Arabidopsis thaliana: one gene and its partners. The protein of the gene in region 2 interacts with the protein of the main gene of each other region in a biochemical or structural test. Each region holds a gene or a part of one and is shown on either strand. Other genes may lie near its edges. The genes, in order: DREB2A, ABF2, ARIA and DREB2C.

Region 1 (4,407 bases), on a different chromosome or scaffold from region 2:
AGGGTATGAGCATTTAGTCCTAAACTGTTGTAGTTTGTGTGCAAATATTTGTTGGAGGTCAGTCTATTGTCTCTGAGTGCAGGTAAGTGTCCATTATACTGGAAAGCTTCAGGGGAATGGGAAGATTTTCGATTCCACCGTTGGAAAATCACGTTATAAGTTTCGTCTAGGTTGGTATTATAACTTGATGCGAAAGTAAGAGCTTTATTAATGTGTGAGTGGTACTTGGATACTTATGTGCTTGCTGTTACACATACAGATGCTGGAAAAGTCATTAAGGGATTGGATGTTGGCCTTAATGGTAACCTAGCTAGTTTCTTACTGGTTTTTCTTCACTAAATATGGTCAAATGGTGTGTTGTTTTGATCTCTTTTTGTAAATTTCTAAAGGAATGCTTGTTGGTGGCAAAAGAAAGCTTACAATTCCTCCAGAAATGGGGTAAAGCCTTTGCAAATCTTTTTTTATTTTTCCATAATGTGATGTTTTATTTTAAGCTTTTTTTAATGAGAGATGATAAAATTGTCTGGCTCACAGGTATGGTGCGGAAGGTGCTGGTAGCATTCCCCCTGACTCTTGGCTGGTCTTTGATGTCGAGCTGCTTAATGTTAAATAAAGCTGCCCTCTAATCCCTAGAGAACTTCCTAAGACTCAATCCAATGATGAGTTTTTTTGTGGAGATCGTATAGTTTTTCCTCTTACGATTTCAAATATTGTGAGACACACTAAGGCCCATAAAGCTTCACAAGTGTGTATTATTCATTCCTGTTGTTACAAAACATAAAACATATCTAAAGAACAACTTAAGAGAAGCAGACTAACAAACTATAGTTGTCTTCTCTATTGTCATATCACTGTTTCGATATATACAGTTCACCTTTATAACAAGAAAAAACGTGTTCTGTAGTTCTCTATATCACTAAAACTCGGATAGAGAATCAACAGTCGTTGTGGGATTAAGGCAAATATCAAATCCAAAAAGCTTCATATTGTTTTGTTTAGTTCTCCAGATCCAAGTAACTCAAGTCGTCGAAGAATCCATTACCATCCTTTCCCTCGAGCTGAAACGGAGGTATTCCGTAGTTGAGGCTTTGTAGCGGATCAAAACCACTTTGTTGACTCTCGGGCCTGTATGAACCGTTGGCAACACTGTTCCCCGGGTACCGGTCCTGATTTAAGCCTGCAAACACATCGTCGCCATTTAGGTCACGTAGAAGCTCATCGACATCAAACATGTCTGAAGAATCCAAGTGACTCTGATCCACATCATTGGGCCAACCATAGTCTGCAACAGATAGCGAATCCTGCTGTTGTTGCTGACAGGTTTCTACAATCCCTTGCTCCTTCTGTTTCTCTTTCTCTTTCAGAATATCACTCCAATAGTTATGTTCAAACTCGCTCAGCCAATGCTTATCCGCTTTAACACCTCTCTTCATCTCTTCCGCACCATTCTCCAGACAATACATCGGCTCCACTCCACCGGAGAAGGGTTTAGATTCACAATCTGGATCCTCTGTTTTCACATGAACACAACCAGGAGTCTCAACAGTACACACCTCAGACTGACTTGAGGTACTCGTAACCTCAGACGCATCAGACCGAGGGAAATTAAGACGAGCCAAAGGACCATACATAGCTTTAGCAGCCTCATCATAAGCAGAAGCAGCTTCTTGAGCAGTAGGGAAAGTACCAAGCCAAAGCCTGCTACCTCGATTAGGCTCTCTGATCTCAGCAACCCATTTACCCCAAATCCTTTGCCTAACTCCTCTGAAACTACATCGGCTATTCTCTGGTCCTCCTTTACCTTTCATACAACCCTTCTTCGACCCTTTCGCAGGTACTTTCCTCTTCTTGGTAGAAACTTCTTCTACGGTCTCGTTATACTCTTTCCATCTCTTTAATCTCTCAGCCACAGTAGTACCGTCACCTCTACTTCTAGATTTCCTTTTCCTCGATGTATCAATTTGTGTTCTGTTTCTATCTCCACTCTGATCATAAACTGCCATCTCCTTCCCAGAAACAACACAATCTACAATACAACAACACTTCAATATCAGAACACAAGCTGAAACATAAGGCAAGAGAACTTAAACTTGGTTCAAAATCAGATCGATTTACTTATTTGTTATCAAATTAGGAACACCTAAAATTTCCCAATTTCACAGCTATACCTAAAAGGAAATAATCGAAAACCTAAAGACGAAGATAAACCCTAGAATCACCAATTGACGAGACCTAATCAGAGAAATTAATTGAAAATTTGTAAGAAATCAGAAATCAACGTACCTATAGGGGACGAAATTTGAAAATCAAAGTCTCTTCCTTCGAGTTGATAAATCGCTTTCGTGTTTAGTCTTCTTGCTCGTATCTTTTCTTCTTCTTCTTGTGTGTAGCTTTTTCGAGTTTTCCTCTTCTTTTTATCAGACAGCTTTAGCAGAAATCAAAATATCTAAGGAAGACAAAGTATCTACGGAGTATTTATAGCCTTCTCTAGATTTTTCTAACATTATTTTATTTTTCTGTTTGAGAGCAAGGTTACGTGTCAGTTTTTGATTCGAACATAAAGGCTTAGACGACTTTTCCGTTCGACGAGTGTCCTCCCGAATCTTCTCGAAACACGCTGTTGATACGGAAAAGTAAAGTTTAAACCTTTTTAAAATTGATTTATGGATAAGATCATAAAACTACTTCATTATTTAAATATTATGAAATTTTAAAATATCTTCATTTTTTTTTTATTAACCCTGACAACACAACACTGTCTCATCTGCTCTTTCTCGATTTTTCTTGGTTTATTGCCAGTTTGCCACTGCATCACACTTACTAGATGTGTAATTGGATGATGATGTTTATTGCCTGTTTTTCTAGTTTTTACAAACGTGCACATTATTCAATTTTGTTTTGATGAGATACTTATCGTTTATATAGATATTTTTAAAAAGATCACGGTTAATATTGTAAAATTAAAGGTTTCCGGTGTACGTACGACATAGAGCGAATTCATAAATGTGTCAGCCAGAAATGTCTTAAACATGAAGTATTAGTTTAAAGTTTAAGCATTAAGTATTAGCTAGAGACGTGTCAAATGGTGAAGCTCAAACTTGGGTGGCTTAGCTTCGAGCAGAGGTGATAGGGTCCATTACCTTATAAAATTTGGGAATCGCAAGTTGTAGCAAAGCAGCAGTCATTTATAGCCTTTGCATGTGCCTCATGTGTCCTTTGCTAACCAAAGCCACTTCATCCACTACGTGTCTCTAACGGCATCGCTAACGTAAGCTCACGCAATTGCCTACGTACTTCAACCTCATGGGCCTTAGTTACTTAACATCCATTATCAAACCCATTGCCTACGTGATACAATCCCATGTGCCTCAGTTAATTAACATCCATTATCAAACCCTTAAAGCCCGTTAATCTAAATTAGCCCATTGGATGGGTGTCGTCCATTTTATTTCTACCGTCGGTGTTGCTACTATCTCGCTATCTCAAGCACGATCGGGTGAGCATCTTCTAGTCTAGTCGATTGAGCCTACAAGTTTCTATCTTCTGGATCTATATGAAATTTCAGTTTGTTTGTTTTTTTTTTCGCTGAAGAGAAATTTCAGTTTTTATTGGTCTAAATAAGGCATGAATTTGGAAATCTGTATCTACGAGTTGGTTTCTTCGCTGTAATGCTTGTTTGTTTTTGGTTTAGTGAACAACATTTGGATGATAAATTATTTGTGCGGAAAAAGCTGCAAGATGATGCCATGATGGCAACACTAATTTTGTTGCTGACTGTAGACTCTCTTTTCTTCGACGACCGTGAGAAGAGCTCTGTAAGTTTGGCTTCTTTCTTTCCATATTAGTATGAATAGGTTATTCGCGTGGCTATGAATCATTCAGCATTGTCTAAGGCCTAGGATCGATAGGGAGGAACGCATTCATTACAATGATTTAGGTTATCGATTACAAAACCATTATTGGAAAACGAGATGTAAGTAAAATGTTGACTTGGCTTGGCCAAACCACGTTAGAATTGTGTTAAGAAAAAACGAGCACATAGTGCTCACTAAACTTGGCTCTGTTAACATCCCAAGGGTCGTTGACCTTATGAAAAAAATGTTATCTTGGTTACAGTTCATTTTTAAAATAACATAAATATTTGATCGAGTCGTAGATGACTGGATGCCAAGATTGGTGGTCAACCCGAATGATCGTGCACACACCTCAGTTAATAAACTAAAACATTAGGAAAGGAATTTGTATATTAATCTCTCTGGTAGGAATTTGAGAATCTATGAGAGATGGGAGCCTGCTTCTCTGTGGCAATATCCTGTGACCAGGCTGTTAATAACCTTACAAGCTGCCTTAGCAGGAACCAAAATCGCTTCCGCAACCTCGTAGATCATGTAGCGGCTCTAAAGAAAA
Region 2 (4,798 bases):
TTAACCTTTTATTTTGTCCTCGGAAAACATGGAAAGATAGAGTTGGGTAAGACGAAATACCTAAAGATAGTATTTGATTTTACACCGGAGACGAAACGAATCAACGAAAAACTAGGGTTTTGCAGGTGAAATTAGGGAGAATTTGAGCGACGAAGTGGGAGAGAATGAGAGTGAACACTTTCATTTTTAGTAACTAAAAAATCAAACCGAATAAGTCGGTTTTGGTTCGATTCGGTCATCGGTTAAATTGGTTCGGTTATGTATTTATTCTCCATGCAAATGATTAATCCCGTTTGGTTTGGTTATCGAATTTAGAGGAATTTTACTTTGATACATACATAAATTTCAGTACAAATGTTTACTTTGTGTAACTGTCGGTTCAGTGAACCACATCAAACCGACTCGGTTACCTCATCCGTCCGAAATGACCAAGGTTCGGTTCGGTTTGGGTTATAGTCGCTTGCCTAGAAGGCTAGAATGCTGTGTTGGCACAGGTCATAGTTTTGGCACTCAGAGAAACCAAACAACACTTCAATTCTTCAAAATTGGTAACTCCAAGATCAAGAAAGTACATTTTGAGGTTTAATAGCGACAACGACAAACAACAACGAGAAACACACACAAAATTCTTGGTCTAAATAAAGCAAAAGAGATTCTGATGATCCTGTGTATGTAAAAAACATAACATATATGGAGAGAGCTTACAATATAAACGATGAAAGCTCTTCTCTATTAAGTCTAATTCAACTAAAACACCTAAGTGGGATGTCATTTATCTACAGAAACTAAGTATGATGGCATTGATTGATTCACCAAGGTCCCGACTCTGTCCTCCTCAGCTTTTTCTTTGGACCTCCTTGCAGAAGATTCCTCATCTCCGTCTCCTGTTTTATACATAGCACGGAAACAAACAACCAAGTTTACAAGTTCAGCTATGAAATGTGCAGTTTAGAGATTCCAGTGTTGTTGCATTGGCATAAGAATTATTACCTGATTCTTTTGCATTTCCATGATCCTTGCCTGTAAAACATGAGGCGTACAATGAGAAATGAATGTAACGTATGAGCAACTGTGATGCTGAGACATGGTTTTGTGATTACCTGCTTTCGTTGTAACTCGTCATTCTCTTCCTTTAACTTTGCAACTTCAGCTTCAAGCTCCACGGTGTAAGCCTATGAACCAAAACAAGCACGACTGAGAAGCTTATGAGATAAAGACTAGAGTGCCATTCAAAACATTTAGACCCTCAAATGTAGAACTCAACAGTTTGGTCATAGTACATGTCAGATGTAACAGGTTTTTGGGAGCACCAATTACCCATTACCTTGCCCCAAAAGAAAAACCATGTCGCCACTACTCAGGTTTTGACGATGAACCCTCACTACTCATTTAAACTCTGAGCCACCTCATGACATTAGCAAATTACATTCCAGTATATTGTTTGGTCTGCCGTGAATATCTGCGGATGGGCAACATGTATATACACCAAAACCAGAAGGTTCATATTTGTTTGCGAGATTCATTCAGCCACAAGTACTGATTTCAAGTCCCAATAATTCTGTTTAGTTGTTTACTACACTACTTCACACAAGACACTTTACGCTTTGAATTCAACGCTTCATTGTGGTTAAAGAACTTAACTACAAGATAAGCTAACCAATTTACTTTACATATCTTTTGGCTTATAACACAATCAAGAGTACATAGATAGATGGTGATGAAGAGATTAACCTGTTTCCTGGCCCGGGACCTTGCAGCTGATTCTCGGTTCTTTATCATTCTCCTTTGCCTTCTCTCTACAACTTTCTCCACAGTGCCACTCTTTCTACCTCTCACACCACCATTAAACATGTAAGGAGACGGAGAGAGTGATGAAGAATCACCATTACTCTTCCCTATCCCTTCTGATGACAATGGCGTAACAGGCGACACAGCACCAACGCCTAAAGCTCCAGGAATTGCAGCAGAAGCACCTTGGACAAAGCCCACATTGTTCGTTAAAGACTGATCTCCAAGTCCCACAAGACCACCACCTCTTATCCCAGGACTATTAAGCTGACCCATTTGTGTTCCATAACCAAAACCAGGCTGCTTAGGCATGATTGGCTGTTGCTGTTGCGATTGCTGGTATGTTGTTCTAGCTCCATTCACATTCAGAGGCAAACTAGAACCTTGAACCTGCAAAGAATTTGCAGTCTCTGCACCAAGATTTCCCATTACACCAGCGGCAACAACTCGTGGAGAAGGCTGCTGAAACTCGACAGAGAAACCTGTGTTGGCATCATTACCAAAGTAACCGCCTTTATTGTTCTCAGCAATCTGAGCTCTTGCAGCAACCTGAGCTTCCTCTCTCACAACACCAGCACGAACCAAAAACTCCTCCAAAGTTACTTCACCTAATGTTTGCTGCCTCTGACTCTGACTCTGACTCTGAGCCTGAGCCACCTGAGACAAGTTACTTCCCCCTACTCCACTACTTCCAACTTTGGATAGATCTTTCCAAACTTGATCAACCGTCTTCTGACTAAGCGTTCGAGGCAGAGTCAACGAGCCTTGCCTCTGCAGCTGCAAACCCTCTTGACCTCCACCAAGAACTGGAACCACACCACTAGCCATGGCTTGTGTTTCTTCAGCACTCCATATATTCTTTAACAACTCATCCATGTTCATTGACCCAAAATCTTTCCCTACACTGCTCTGAAACTCATCAAACGTCAACGAGTATATCGAACCTTGTCTAGTCAACCCTCCACCTCCACCACCATCTCCTGGTGGCTCATTCCCCAAATTCATACTACCATCCATTTTTCTACAAAATCTGCTTCCACCTAATAACTGGATCTGAACCATGAATACAAAAAAAAATCCAAACTTTAGTTTAAAAATCCAAACTTTAGTATCAGAACCCTAATCTATAAATAAAAATCAAGAAATCTGCAAAACCCAATTCAAAAACACTAACAGATTTCAAAACTTTAATAGTCAAATGGATAAAAACAGATTAAACCAACAGGAGAATATGAATGCGTTTATGACAAGTATTAGGCACAATTAGTAATTTTATCCAAAAATTAAGTGTGGACATAAATCGAAAGAATTAAAAGAAGATGAACAAAAACCACAGTTTCTTCTATACACACAAAGAGAAGAAAAATCTATTACCTTTTTGCTAAATTCGTGTGCTTTGTAATTTTCCCAAAAAATTTCAAAATGTTTGGTTCTTCGTTTGGGTGATTAGGTAGTTTGTCTGGTGAGCCAAGTGTCTCTCTGGCTCCTAACAATCTTGAATAAATACTACTTTTGCTAATTATTTTAATAAAATGGTATATACTCTGTATCTTTGTATTTTGCGTCACTTTCCCTCTTCGTTTTTATTTTACTAATTTCACTTACTAATTGTTTTCCTTTTCAGGATTTATGTTGTTTTAATTTACTTTAGGTTCCTAAAATAAGTTGTTTTCACTTTGGAATTCCGTCCAAAAATCATTGTATCTACACAATAAATTAAAATGTTAAAACGTCTTTAAAATTGTAAAATTAAGATTGGATTATGTTTATGAAAATAAAGTATTATATACTAGAAAAGAAATGAAAATATTGTATTTTACATATATATATATATATATTAATATTATATCTGGCGAATTTGGATATGTTGACTTGGAAATTATGATATCTAGATCCAAATGTTGCTTGGACAAATCCAAATTGTTACTACCCAGATTTCCAAGTAATATCTAAATATTTAAATATTTTGAGAGAAACCAAATGATTTTTGGGTATGTAAACTTTAAAATTGTATTTAAATCAATTTGGACGGATTCAAATTTTTACTATTGATCTCAACACTTTGAATATCGGAAATTTTGGAAAGAATAGTGACAAATTCTTTATATCGGATTCGAGATAATAATTTCACTCTAACAATTGTGCTAATTAACCAATTAATATTTATTTGTTTAGGTACACATGGTTGCGGTGGTTGGAGAACAAAATGGGTTTGTAGATTAGACAACTTCTTATTTATCATTCACAAAATTATAATTTGTAGTGGTATATACAAAACAAAAAGAAAAAAAAACTCTATATACAAAATAATTCATATAGTTCTTACATAAAAAATTGGTATTATATATGGGTATAGTCCTAAAACTTCTCAGAAAGTTTACATATCAAAATGGATTAAAGTTTACCAATCAAAATGTTCGTTAAAAAAGAAAATATTGGTATAATTCCAAATTTTAATCCGATTTATCCACAATATCCATTCAAAACCTTAATTCTTTTTAAAAAAATCAGCTAATATTTTATTTCACCGGTGAATTGAAAACGCTTCTCCATCCTGAAGTGACAAAGGTCCAATAATCAATCACCTGAGTTTGTTATTTATGATCGGTCCACTTACTTCTTTAGTCCTCTGATTACAAAAGTTTTAAAAAAGAAAAAAGTAGTTGTAACGAAATAACGTGTCGCTCCATTACTGTCACAACCAACAAAAACAAAAACACGAACCAACCTCGATGAGACAGACACATAATGAAACCAAATCTCAGCCGTTGATTGTCGATGTAACGTGGACGAACACTATTATTTGCTTTCACATCGACTTTGTGTTTTGTGGGGGAAGATGTCAGAAACCAAAGAGTCTTCTTACTTTTTTTCCATTGGTCCACGTCTCTAGTTTTTAGTTGGGCTCACCTTCACATTATCAAACCCATCTTATTATTTTTTACGTTTAAAAATTAAATACAAGGACAATAATACTCTCAATTCACTAATTATAGTAGTGTTTTTTTTT
Region 3 (7,738 bases), on a different chromosome or scaffold from region 2:
GGAGGATTAACATTGAGCCCAAAGGAATAACTAATTGATAAATCAGAAAATGCTGTGACTAAATCAATAACAGAGATTAAGGAGAGTAATCTCGTAAAGATCGGAGATCCTATAAGTGGATAGTTTCGAGAAGAAGCATTAAATCACCAACTACGAGGAAGGAACATCGGTGCTTAATCACAGGGTAAAATCGGATCAGACAAATAATTATCCGTTTGCGATGAGAATAAACGGAAATGAAAAGCGTACCGGACCGATGAAGATTGTCTGAATCTCGGAGCTCTGAGACTCTCTCTGGCTGCAAAATCGAGTGTGTTTTTAGGGTTTCTCCTTCACCGGAGCTCTTTAAAACTCCCTCCTACGTTCGTTGAACCAAAAGTCTCTATAGACTAATTTAAAAAAAAAAAAAAAGAGAAAGGTTAATAATTCATCGTGACTTGAGTAATTAATCACTTTGGAAGAAAACGTAATTAATTAGAACCAACCTGGTAATTTTGAATCTTTCATGTTAAAGAAAACTCCTTTATGTGTAATGTAATTTTCAGTGGCTTGTGCTACAAAATACTTACAAGTTACAGTCTCTAATCATCAGTAATACTTTCGATTGATTCTTTATTTGTAAAACAAAAATGGGATATTATGTTCTGTGTTGAATCATCTCTTAATTATTCAGACATGAACTCACTGGTCACCACTACCAATATCAAATCGTTACAGCTACGCTTAGTCACAACCTACCCAAAGTATCTTTTCTCAACAGAGAGGATAGTTGGAGAGTGGATTTTGAATTGAATAGTGGAAGTTATACCACAATGGTATTTTTGGATACAAAGGGTAGCGATTTCATTCAAGACCGATTGTGATCAGAGGAGATTAATTAATACAATACAAAATGACCAAAACGAACCAAAAAGCACAGCAAATAACTAAGACAACCCAGTACAGGACGATAAAGACCTCTAATGGCGGCTCTTGATCTCTCTCTCTCTTTCTCTCTATATAATTCCTTGTCTACTTACCTCTAGTTAAGTGCAGTCTTCTTCTTCCGCATTCTACAACCTCAAGCTTTGCAGGTTTGTAGTAGACTTTGTTAGGGCTCTACAAAAGTACTCTCTTATCTCTGGTATTGTTCTCTGCACCAGCTCGTTCTGCCTGCATTTTCCATTCACTTTTGTTTCAGACTAATAGCAATAAAACAAATCTTAGTGGAGAGAGAGAGTGACATCTTGTTTATATTACCAAGGCATTGAACTCAGTTTATCGAAATGCTCCAGGATGAACATGATACAAGCTTGCCTCAGCGACATCGCATGGAATGCTTCTGATAGCTCGTACATGTCTCCTATACTTTCCAACGTAATATCCTTTCATATTCAAAGTAACCGTGTCAGATTTCGTTAAGTACTACGCAAACCACATCATCACTTTACATTGTGATATAATTCTGGCTCACCTGAGCAATTGTGTATTCACAGAGTCGTTTCAGGCCCTCCAAGAGATACTGATCCGCTGCTCTTAGAAGATCTTTTGATATCTCATTTGTTATGTCGACAGATCCAGTGTATATAAACCTGAAAATCATAATCCAAGGGAGTCAATTACGTGTATATGAAAAGTTCTCACAGACTTTTCGAAATTTCAATATCTCGAGTGAGTCAATCAAAAGCATGCAGAGGTTCATTCATCATACCTCATCATTAACTCAAACACCTCCCATTTGATATTTGGAATCTCAATATCTCTAGCGTCTTTTTCCTGTGATATAAACGAAACACAAACCGTGACACAATTCAGGTCTAATTTCCCCAAAAGATAATTGTATTCCTTTGATAAATAGCAGACCAGCATACATCCATACGTCATTGTCATCAAAATATCATTTACCCCACAAGAACATTATCGAAAAACCAAAATATTTAGTTCACTTACTCTGTAACCACCATCAAACATTGCACGAAATGCATCTGAGGATGCCAGCAGACAAATTCTGTGTGCATAGAATGTCCTTCCTGCAGTATGATTTTTCTGTTTTACATATGGACTTTGAAGCTAACTAGAGTTCCACAACTTCTGGATTTATATATGATTACCTTCGACTAGAAAGGTTACATCAGACAGCGTAGCATTATTTACATATTGCTCTCCGAGATAAACCTGTCACAAAAAGACATACAGAATACTGCATTGAGACTTCCACCCGTTACCTATAGGAGAACTGAAGCAGAAAGGAAACTCACCCTTTGTGTTGGAGAAGGAGGAGCAGCATCAACTGGAGAAAGTGCCATAGATTTATTTGCTAATTTGTACAACGCTGCTGCACCGTCAAGTTGCTGCTTAGTGTTTAAAGAACCAAGAAGACCGAGTAGCAACTCCAACCCTGTCAAAAGACAACTCAATATTAACTTTTTGGACAAAGAACATCTAAACTGGACGGTTAACGCATTAAACATAACGCATGCATCTCATTTAGCTCATGAAAATATAAAAAAACTGTCACATGCCGTTGTCATCTATGAATATGGTTCGTTGATCCTCGGGTGAACAGAGATGAGCAAGGGCAAGAGCAACTCGTCTTTGGATAGACTTCTCTGAAATGCGCATTAGGTACAACAGATGTCTCAGAACCTACAAAAGAAAATCAAAGCACAGAAATCTCAAAGGTTGAATAAAGAAATGCTAAACTTCAACAGAGCTTCAGAAACTCAACCAGGATAAAGCAGTTTTAGTCATCAAAGATGGAAAAAAAAAAAGAATTAAAGAAAAGTATAGTTTCACTTACTCTTCCATGAATCTTCTCCTCCAATCTCTTTAGTGTTTTGGAAACACAATCTTTAGTTGCCTAAAAAATCATGATATATTATAAACACCTTAAGGGGAAGAGTAAAAAAATACGATTAAAGCTGCTAAGAAACTTCAGTATCTAGCCAATAAAGGAGTATGACAATGTGGTTCTGTAAAGTAGAGGAAGAGTGGCAACGCCATACATACTTGAACAATAAACTCTCCATCCTGTAGCTTTTGGATACCTCCCACCCTGATAAAATCTGACACATTATCCTAGGGGAAGAAAAATGGATCAATAACCCATTTACCGACGTTTACCATCAAATTCTGCATAATGAATAAACCGAAAGTAGCATACAGCACACCTCATTATCGGCAAGGCCATAAAGAGCAAATGCAGCATTGTGTTGCAATGATCCATTTCTTGAATCGAGAAGCTTCAATAAAGGTCCTAAACCACCACTATGGGCAATACCAGCTTGATTGTGGGCATCCTGCAAGAAAGAGTATGCTAGAAATCAAAAGACACATCGGTTTTATTATTTAATATAACTCACTACTTAAAAGTTCCCCCTAATGAAAACAGATTTAGAAACACAATAAGAATACCCATCTTCCACAACCATGGAAGCCAGCTTTTTTAGCATCTATAAATTTAAAATCAAACCAATCTTGAAGTAACCAATAAGAAAACAGTTGACAATCAAGGCAACAGCAAATTATCCAGGATCACTAGGAATTATTTGAAAACACTAAGAAACAAAAGCTACAAATTAATAACAGTTGTGGTATCAAATGTTTGATCTGGAAGTAAGAAGAGGTAACATCTAAAGCGTGAAGTTACTATTTCACAACACTCAAATGGGAATGCGTACACTTTCATAACCGAACTACCAAAAGTTTTAAAAGAAGAACCTGTGCCAATCTACCCAGTGCAAAGGCCGACATTTCCTTCAACTGGACATCCGGGGACTGAAGCATCTCAATTAAAGGACGGACAGCACCCCTTTGCACAATGTGCACCTGCAAAGTTATAATTTGAGCATGAAGTGAAGAATGAACAAAACAAACCTATATAAATCAGGGAAAATGGTAGAATTAGTGAGAAATGGGAAGGTATGTTCTACAAATCAACAGAAACAAACAACTTATCACTTCGTATAACCAAACAAAAAAAGATATAAGGCTTTCGGGAATGGAAAAAGAGCTGAGGATAAAAAAACCTGGGATGAAATTGTACCTTACAATCAGAATCAGTTGAGGCAAACTGCCCAAGTAATAAAGCCGCCTCTCTTTGACTCTCAGGGCAACAGGAGCTGTAAAAGAAAAATTCAAGAAATCAAAAGAATGAACTTGGGGTTAACAGCGAAATAAAAACCTCAACAATAGAGAAGCTGGTAAGATTTCAGCTCTAGCCAAAGTCATAACAACTCTATGCTGAACCATCAACCATGTATATCAAAATGGTGAGGGTCCACATACCTAAGAAGACCAATGACAGGTTGCAACGCCCCGGCAGTAAGAACCTCTTTTTTAATGTGTGGAGACGAGTGTACTAGATTGCCTATAACTCCAACCTTAAAAAGCATGACTCAACTGGTTATTTCAACGTCAATCCCACATAGATAAATAAGTAGCAAAACAGTTGATTATAAAAAGATTCCTAACCGCTTCATAATGTATAGCAGCATCCTCTGATCCTAGCATTAGAATAAGTGTGGGAAGAGCATTGCATTCAACTATCTGCAAAGAAAATAATTATCATGCTCCGGCTAAATCTAAGTAGAAGCTGTAAGATAGCAATATTTACCTGATTCTTGTTATCATCATTTTTAAATGCAAGGGTTCTCAATGCCCCTGCTGCTGCTCTCTGGACCTTTGAATCAGAAAATTCAAGCAACTCCACGAGAGGTGGAATACCGCCTTCTACCCTGTTTGTCAAACTGGAAGTCAAGAGGATAGAGTTGTACTGAAAACAAATCTCGAAAGGAGAAAACCACTTAAATATGCTGACCTAACACGGGTCTTGATACTGCTGTTCTCATGAGCAAGATTGGTGATGGCATCAGCCGCTCTTCTGATAACACTATTCACAGCTCGAGAGCTAGAACCATCTTTGTTTCTCTTCAACAAATTCACTAAATGAGGTAAGGCACCTTTGTCTACTATCAGTTTCTGATACTCTGGCTGTTAAGAAATCAATTCCACAACACGATCACACAAACAATACATAATCCCCTCCGTGTATAAGAGTTCAATTACCAAAATTTTGCCTTAAAAAAAATTGATTTGGATCAACAAAACAAAAAAGGAAACTACTTTCTAACAAGCTAAACACACTATACAAGGAGCTGACATAGAGAAAATGAGGATCACAACCTTAATAGCAAGAAGACCAAGCGCAAAAGCGCTTCCCTTCTCAACTTCGTGTTCGTACGGCTTCTCAGCCAAGTCCCCGTCGTTGTATGGTGGCGCCTGTAGATGCGTCATAAGAGCTGGAACAGCACCTCCGTCGACAATCACGTTCACTAAATCCTCTGCTGAACATCAAAGGTCACTAGTCATGCAACAAAATATGAAGAAACCGGAGAAAAAGGAGTAAGATCGGAAGCTGATTTTCACCGTTTTTGGCTAGCTCAGCCAGAACTTGAGTGGCTCGCTTGGCAGCAGCGCGATCGGACTCTTGCCAAGAGAAGGCAGAGTTTAGTACCGAGACTTGAGCAGCAACCTCGCTAAGAAGCGCTTGGCCTCCGTCGGTGCTGACGGCAGAGATCTCTCGATCTTCTACGGCGGCGGCTCCTTCCTCTAGCTTCCGCTTCTGTCCTTTACGCTCCGGAAAACTCCGGCCTTCTCGCCTCTCCGGTTGTTGGTCCATCGTTCACAAAGTAAAAGACGATCCGAAGAAGAGGAGAGATCAGAGAAGAAGAAGAAGCAGCGTTTTGAAATCAATCTCAGGCACAAAAGAGATCAGGGGTATTTTCGTTATTTCATTCGACTCACAAATAAAAACCCTTTATTTTATTTTTATTTTGTATTTCTAGTTTAAATTGTAAGAAAAGAAAAAAACAAATTCGTACTTGGGATTAGAGTATTAGACATAAATGATCTTTCTTATTAATGTCCAAAGAATGTATAATTGAAACGTTTTTAATTTTTCGTTTACATTTTTGATTGTTTATATATTGAAATGTTTTTAGACAAATATATATATATATATATATATATATTGAAATGTTTTTCTAGCGACATAGTGCTAATTTGCGCTCCTCACTGGTGGTGCCGATTTGCTAACTTGGGCGTACCGGAACTGAAAAGATATTGTCCCACTCCCACCTCGAGGTTGTGCAGTTTTATTGCAACAACTAAAAACTTATTGTTGATGGTTTATAGTCATTATTAGTTGGTATCAATAATAATAAAAATAAGTAATAGTAAGGCTTTTGAACTTTTGGGTGGTCTGCCACAAAGGAGACGTGTTTGAAAGTGTGAATAAAAATATCAAAGAGAGAAGAAAGAACTATTTCTTTAATTTGAGAAGATAAAAGGAACTATTTCTTTATATATGGTGACCACATGAAATCAAAACTTCGGAGGCACGAGCATGCTTTGAACAAACAAAGGGGAAAAAAAAAAGCGAGAACAAACGATAAAGTGGAAGAAAATAAAAGGTTTATTCATAGAATCATAGCTCATTATGATATATGGAATTCAGCAGCATATCTCTTTTTGTGCCTCTCTCAAGAGCAATAGAGCATGTATCTTATTATTTGTGTTTGTAAAAATGTGATTGATTCACTATGAGATCATAAGAAATAATTATTGTGAGGTCTAAAGTGGGCAAATGCCTAGGTAGTGATGTGTGTGATGCTATGTAGTGATGTGTGAAGCTAGCTGGTATCCATATATACATTTTTTTCTTATAAAAGTATCAATATATAATGATATACATGTTACTTGCAATTTTTTTATTTTATTTTACATTTCACATAAATAATATATTTGTTTTGTAACCCAATCAAGATGATATAATGTGGAGTGTCCAATAGAAGATTTTCGAAAATAATGGGCCTGATCATGAGCCAGGTCTCGTTGCTGGGCCATATAGGCATGAAATTCCCACGTCAGCCGCAATGGAATTAACGGAGAGAGAAAAGGTCAAAGGACCTCTCTTTGACTCGCTCTTCGTTTTTGATCTCCGGCCGGACCAGAGGGTCAACACCTTCTGCTCTCTGACCTTACCTAAACCCTGAACCTTCTCCGAATCACATGCCAGACCATTGAGATTGTTATATACTTATATATGTTTGTTTCCTGTGTTTTAGAATCATACAAAACTATAGTCTAACCGGGCCAAGTTCCAAGCAATCTTCTTGAGAAACCAAGACTTGATCTTAGCTAAGTCACAAAACTTCCTAGTGGGTTTCACCCATCCGATAAGAGTTATATTATATCTCACCTTAACGTTGAACTACGAACAAAGACATTAGTCGTTCCAAATTGCTTAAACAAGAACAGTAAAATTCTTTTTTCACATGACACAACATGATTTAAGTTTTTGCTTCTTTTATAGCATGTGTGTGAAGTTAGATATCTTAAGTTACATTCGTCACAAACTGGTAGATGGCGAGTGGTTTCGCTCTGCTTCATGTTGGTCTAGGCCAATAATCCTTTCAAGTGAGAAACTGTATCTCATCGTTCCGCTTGACTACATGTAGACATTTTAAGTGGCAAGAAAACTCGTATTTCTATAGACTCGGAGTTAGTGTAGGTTTCATCTTAAGATGAGTACAAAGAAAAAGAAAATAGTGATCCCAGGCTAAGACAGTGTATAGACTCGTTTATAGTGTTTTTGTTTGTCCATCCATTCTTTGCTGTATTTTTTAGTGTAGTGAAAGAAGACAGCGTGGCATTATCATGATTGAAGTCATATACAGATCTAACGAATACGTCAAAG
Region 4 (4,284 bases), on a different chromosome or scaffold from region 2:
GAAGAGGACACATTGTCAAAGGGAACTTGTGGAGGTGCAATACCCACCAATTCATTGGATTTAATTAATTAACAGTTTGCCAACTTGATTTCTTCATTTTTCTAAAGGCTTAGAAGATCTTCAAGATTCGAGCAAGAAAAACGATTTTGGAGACCAGAATGGAATAGTTAAAGCCTTTTAAATAATATACAACTATGTCCCATTTGCACTTTCAAATACCCAATTTGCCTTTTGTAGAAAATACAGATAGATAACTCTCTAATGATAACTTTATTATTCATACCTCATTGCTTATGTAATCTCAGACAACCTGAGGAAAGTCTGCAGACCAAAAAACTCCACTACTGGATATTTCCATTAAACTAAGCCAAGTTTCTTGAATAATCAAAACTTGCCAAGTCAATAAAACCACTACGCAACATCGCATTATTCCATCTCCATTCTTAAGGATGAAAATTAGATGTGAGAGTATCCAAAGTTCAAAGATCAAAACTTTATAGCTTATATGCATCCGAAGTTCAAAACTTTGATATGTACCGAATGTTATAAACTTTTTCTAAACCCAACGTTTGAACTTCTTCATATGTCATATGTATTCACAAGAAAAAGAAAGAAGGAATCATATTTGAACTTGTCCTACATTACCTAACTACATGTACTACGTCTCACAACCATTAATATCAGAAAGTATCAGTAGCTTCAAAGAAGGGCAGCTTCTAGCTAGTAACAGCTACACCGTCTCGGAGCAGAATCACAAACTTAGGCCAGTCAAACGAAATTTGAAATCTTATGTAGATCCATGAACATCTTTGTCTCCTCCAAAATCCAAGTCCTGTATGTCAAGATCATTGAACCTGCGATGGTCTAAATCAATACCATAGTTCTCCATATCACTGGGCTGCACATAAGGACATCCATAATCAACTCCTGGTTGAGCAATCTCCATAGGGTTGAGGCTCCCGAGCAAGTTAGAATTTGGAAACTGCGTTTGGTAACTGAAATTTGGGTGTCTATCCACTTGATACTGCATTGTCTCTTGACCAGACACATTGTTGTCGTTTAATATACCCAATAGCTCATTAATATCAAACGTTTCATCCACACCAAACTCCAATGGTTCTTGTTCATTGCCATTTCCCATCAACCAAGCATCCAAAGTCTCCCTTTTCGAGTCCTGTCCAATTCCAAAACCAACAGCCAAGTTATGTTCTTCCCTCACTTCCTCTTTTCCTTTCAGCTCCTCTTTAATACACTGAGAACTATCTAAGAGAACATATTCATCGCTACAATCCTCTAGTTTCACCTGACCAAAACCTGAACTTGCATTTGTATCCTCACGTGCACAAACTTCAGATTCATCAGAAAATGCAGTAACCGAGCCTGACACAGTGGCAGTGGCAGCAGTCGAAGAAGAGCGATTTGTGATCTCGGGAAGATTGAGTCTGGCAGACTGACCATATATAGCTTTGGCCGCCTCGTCATAAGCCAATGCAGCTTCATATGAACTGGAGAAAGTACCGAGCCACAACCTAGCACCTCCGTCTGGCTCACGGATCTCAGCAACCCATTTACCCCATCTCCTCTGTCTAACTCCTCTATAGTCACAAATCCCGTTTTCAGGTCCACCTTTACCTTTCATACAACCCTTCCTCGAACCTTTTGGAGGAGGCTTTCGGATTGATTTTGGACCACCACCATCGATACAAGATTCTGCCTCAATCTGCTCATTGTACTCTCTCCATTGCCTTAGAATCTCAGCTACATCTCGTGTTCCACGAGACTTCCTTTTCCTGGTAGAATCAAAGGGGATAGAAGCAAGATTAGCAACATGCTCGAGAACTCCAATTTTCTCTCTTCACAAAATTTCAAGCAACAGGTTCAACTATACTTCGGATCAAAGCACCTTTCAAAGAAACAATTTTTAACCACCTGAACGTAATTACACCGAAGTAGCTACAAGAAGAAGTTTTCATAATCTGCAGCATCACAGCGAGCAAGAAAGAAACTCCATCACGAACAGATTAAGAAACTAGAACAGAGCAAACTCAGAAACAGAGAATCACCTAAAGATTCAACATAGAATCCATAATCTAACTTCTGTATCAGGAAAGGTACCACCTTTAACGATTATTTTAGCTAAAAATCCTCTAATTTCCAAGTCTCTTAACCACACACGAACTAGAATCCACAAATCGCACAGAACTCAATCCAAAAGAGACAAATTGTGCCCCAAATTAACAAATTTCAGTCAACAAAAAACCCCAAAAACCCTAAAATTGAAAAACCTTTCAGCTTCCACCTATTACACAAACAAAGGAACTTGGAGGATATACACACAAAACAACAAAAATCGATAAAAAGAAAATCTTAAACCCTAACAATGAACAATCACATTTAGCAAACATACAGAAGAGAGGAAAAAAAACGGAGAAAAATCGAAAAATGTAACAAACAAACCTGTCAACAATCTCCGACGGCATGTAAGAAAGCACTCGAACAAAGTAGCAGCTGAAGAAGAAGAACACAAAGGATTCAATGTAATAATAGTAGTAGTAGTAGTAGCAAAGACGATAGCTTTTGTTTTCTCGTTAGCAGAGAAGAGAAAGGTTTGGGATTGTGAAAGGAGAAGCCTTTATATATAGACAAGTCTTAATTAGATATTTCAGATATTTAGGTGATGACGTGGCGTTCGAACTTACCAGATTCTGATTTGCGGCTGGATCCAGAGTCCTTTCCTTTTTGCTTTGGGCCTAAGTTATTTCTGATTATGCTTTTTGACTATTTTACCCTCAAAGCTTCTTTGTAATTTCCGCTTATGATCCCTTTTACTATAGCTGAATACGTCATTTACTCATTTTCGTTGACTAGTCAAAAATCAAGTCTTCTTCCACACGAAGCTATGGGCTAAGTATGGATTATTGTTTTATATTTTTTGTAAACTTTATTATTGATATGAATAAATTTAGAGAAAAATATTAATGTTTTATATGTGTTTTGGTTTCGTGGATTACCCTTAAGAGCCTATTATGCTTCTTTTCGCGAGTATATAACACATTGTGTTAGACAAGTTCAAATTGTGAATGAGACTATGAGTGAATTTGTCGTTAAATAAAGGAGACCAGCCTTCGTGGAGAATTTCTATTTTTCCTACGAAGTGACAATCCATTTTCTCTTTGTCTAGTCAAGGATCCATCATTCATTGTAATATGAACGTTAAGAAACTGTCACATACATATGGAATCAAATCCATATTTGGATTTAAGCCGACTAGTAACGCCCCAACTTAACCAATGCAGTTATTGGACTTAACATTTTGGAAATGCGAGAAGTTAGAGATCTCAACAAATAAAGGCGATCATTACAAAACTTAAACCTAGAAAGAGGATAATTTTGGAGTGATGGTGACGTAGAGGATGATCGCCAGTTTCTTATCATTTCAAATGCTTGATAGAATACATCTCCTCATAGATTGAGAGATAGAGAATATAATATTTTGTAGTGGTGGTGATGAGGAGGAGGAGGATTGAGTGTTATGAGAGTTTCAGACCACTCTTGGTGACAATCTAAAGATCTTCCTTTGTTTACTTTCTTGCATTTCAATAAAGCTCCATATGAGCTATCTCATTTTCAATCTACAACTTAAGACCTCACAATAGTCAACTACGATTAACAATACACTAGAACTATCTAGGAGAACATATTCATCAATACAATCCTCTAGTCTGACCTGACCAAAACCAGATCTTGCATTTGTATCCTCACGTGCACAAACTTCAGATTCATCAGAAAATGCAGTAACCGAGCCTGACACAGTGGCAGCAGTGGAAGATTGAGTCGGGCAGACTGACCGTAAATAGCTTTGGAAGCCTCATCATAAGCCAATGCAGCTTCATATGAACTAGAGAAAGTACCGAGCCATAACTTAGCACCTCGGCCTGGCTCACGGATCTCAGCAACCCATTTACCCCATGTCCTCTGTCTAACTCCTGTATAGTCACAAATCCCATTTTCAGGTCCACCTTTACCTTTCATACAACCCTTCCTCGAACGTTTTGGAGGAGCCTTTCGGATTGGTTTTGAACCACCACCATCGATGCAAGAATCTGCCTCGGTCTGCTCATTGTACTCTCTCCATTTCCTTAGAATCTCAGCTACATCTCGTGTTCCACGAGACTTCCGTTTCCTGGGCATAGAAGCAAGATTAGCAACATGCTCGTGAACTATTGGGCACAGAAGCAAGTCCCATTTTTTCTCTTAACAAGATTTAAAGCAACATGTTCAACT

Evidence for each region.
Region 1: the proteins of ABF2 (region 2) and DREB2A form a complex in vitro, tested with the Arabidopsis thaliana proteins (one study listed by BioGRID).
Region 3: the proteins of ABF2 (region 2) and ARIA form a complex in vitro, tested with the Arabidopsis thaliana proteins (one study listed by BioGRID).
Region 4: the proteins of ABF2 (region 2) and DREB2C form a complex in vitro, tested with the Arabidopsis thaliana proteins (one study listed by BioGRID).

Annotation. Positions count from the first base shown.
Region 1 is NC_003076.8:1,600,246-1,604,652, reverse strand, and holds DREB2A (DRE-binding protein 2A), read right to left. Parts: upstream 2,449-4,407; 5' UTR 2,284-2,448; intron 2,027-2,283; 5' UTR 2,004-2,026; coding exon 996-2,003; 3' UTR 614-995; downstream 1-613. Other genes in the region: AT5G05420 (FKBP-like peptidyl-prolyl cis-trans isomerase family protein), read left to right, coding at 1-3, 83-170, 260-301, 390-438, 535-613; AT5G05400 (LRR and NB-ARC domains-containing disease resistance protein), read left to right, coding at 4,284-4,407. UniProt on the Arabidopsis thaliana protein: Transcriptional activator that binds specifically to the DNA sequence 5'-[AG]CCGAC-3'. Binding to the C-repeat/DRE element mediates high salinity- and dehydration-inducible transcription.
Region 2 is NC_003070.9:17,164,611-17,169,408, forward strand, and holds ABF2 (abscisic acid responsive elements-binding factor 2), read right to left. Parts: upstream 3,280-4,798; 5' UTR 3,163-3,279; intron 3,132-3,162; exon of another isoform or gene 2,872-3,131; 5' UTR 2,851-2,871; coding exon 1,732-2,850; coding exon of another isoform or gene 1,579-1,731; exon of another isoform or gene 1,460-1,578; coding exon of another isoform or gene 1,415-1,459; exon of another isoform or gene 1,173-1,414; coding exon 1,101-1,172; intron 1,021-1,100; coding exon 991-1,020; intron 885-990; coding exon 810-884; 3' UTR 548-809; downstream 1-547. UniProt on the Arabidopsis thaliana protein: Involved in ABA and stress responses and acts as a positive component of glucose signal transduction. Functions as a transcriptional activator in the ABA-inducible expression of rd29B.
Region 3 is NC_003076.8:6,507,043-6,514,780, forward strand, and holds ARIA (ARM repeat protein interacting with ABF2), read right to left. Parts: upstream 5,760-7,738; 5' UTR 5,660-5,759; coding exon 5,407-5,659; intron 5,325-5,406; coding exon of another isoform or gene 5,322-5,324; coding exon 5,164-5,321; intron 4,972-5,163; coding exon 4,799-4,971; intron 4,716-4,798; coding exon 4,595-4,715; intron 4,528-4,594; coding exon 4,453-4,527; intron 4,362-4,452; coding exon 4,267-4,361; intron 4,101-4,266; coding exon 4,025-4,100; intron 3,808-4,024; coding exon 3,700-3,807; intron 3,279-3,699; coding exon 3,150-3,278; intron 3,058-3,149; coding exon 2,989-3,057; intron 2,840-2,988; coding exon 2,780-2,839; intron 2,626-2,779; coding exon 2,502-2,625; intron 2,378-2,501; coding exon 2,238-2,377; intron 2,155-2,237; coding exon 2,091-2,154; intron 2,010-2,090; coding exon 1,930-2,009; intron 1,756-1,929; coding exon 1,691-1,755; intron 1,572-1,690; coding exon 1,454-1,571; intron 1,405-1,453; coding exon of another isoform or gene 1,365-1,404; coding exon 1,240-1,364; intron 1,153-1,239; and 3 more. UniProt on the Arabidopsis thaliana protein: May act as a substrate-specific adapter of an E3 ubiquitin-protein ligase complex (CUL3-RBX1-BTB) which mediates the ubiquitination and subsequent proteasomal degradation of target proteins.
Region 4 is NC_003071.7:16,847,878-16,852,161, forward strand, and holds DREB2C (Integrase-type DNA-binding superfamily protein), read right to left. Parts: upstream 2,611-4,284; 5' UTR 2,481-2,610; coding exon of another isoform or gene 2,458-2,480; exon of another isoform or gene 1,977-2,457; 5' UTR 1,974-1,976; coding exon 1,930-1,973; exon of another isoform or gene 1,791-1,929; coding exon 788-1,790; 3' UTR 512-787; downstream 1-511. Other genes in the region: AT2G40350 (Integrase-type DNA-binding superfamily protein), read right to left, coding at 3,718-4,183. UniProt on the Arabidopsis thaliana protein: Transcriptional activator that binds specifically to the DNA sequence 5'-[AG]CCGAC-3'. Binding to the C-repeat/DRE element mediates high salinity- and abscisic acid-inducible transcription.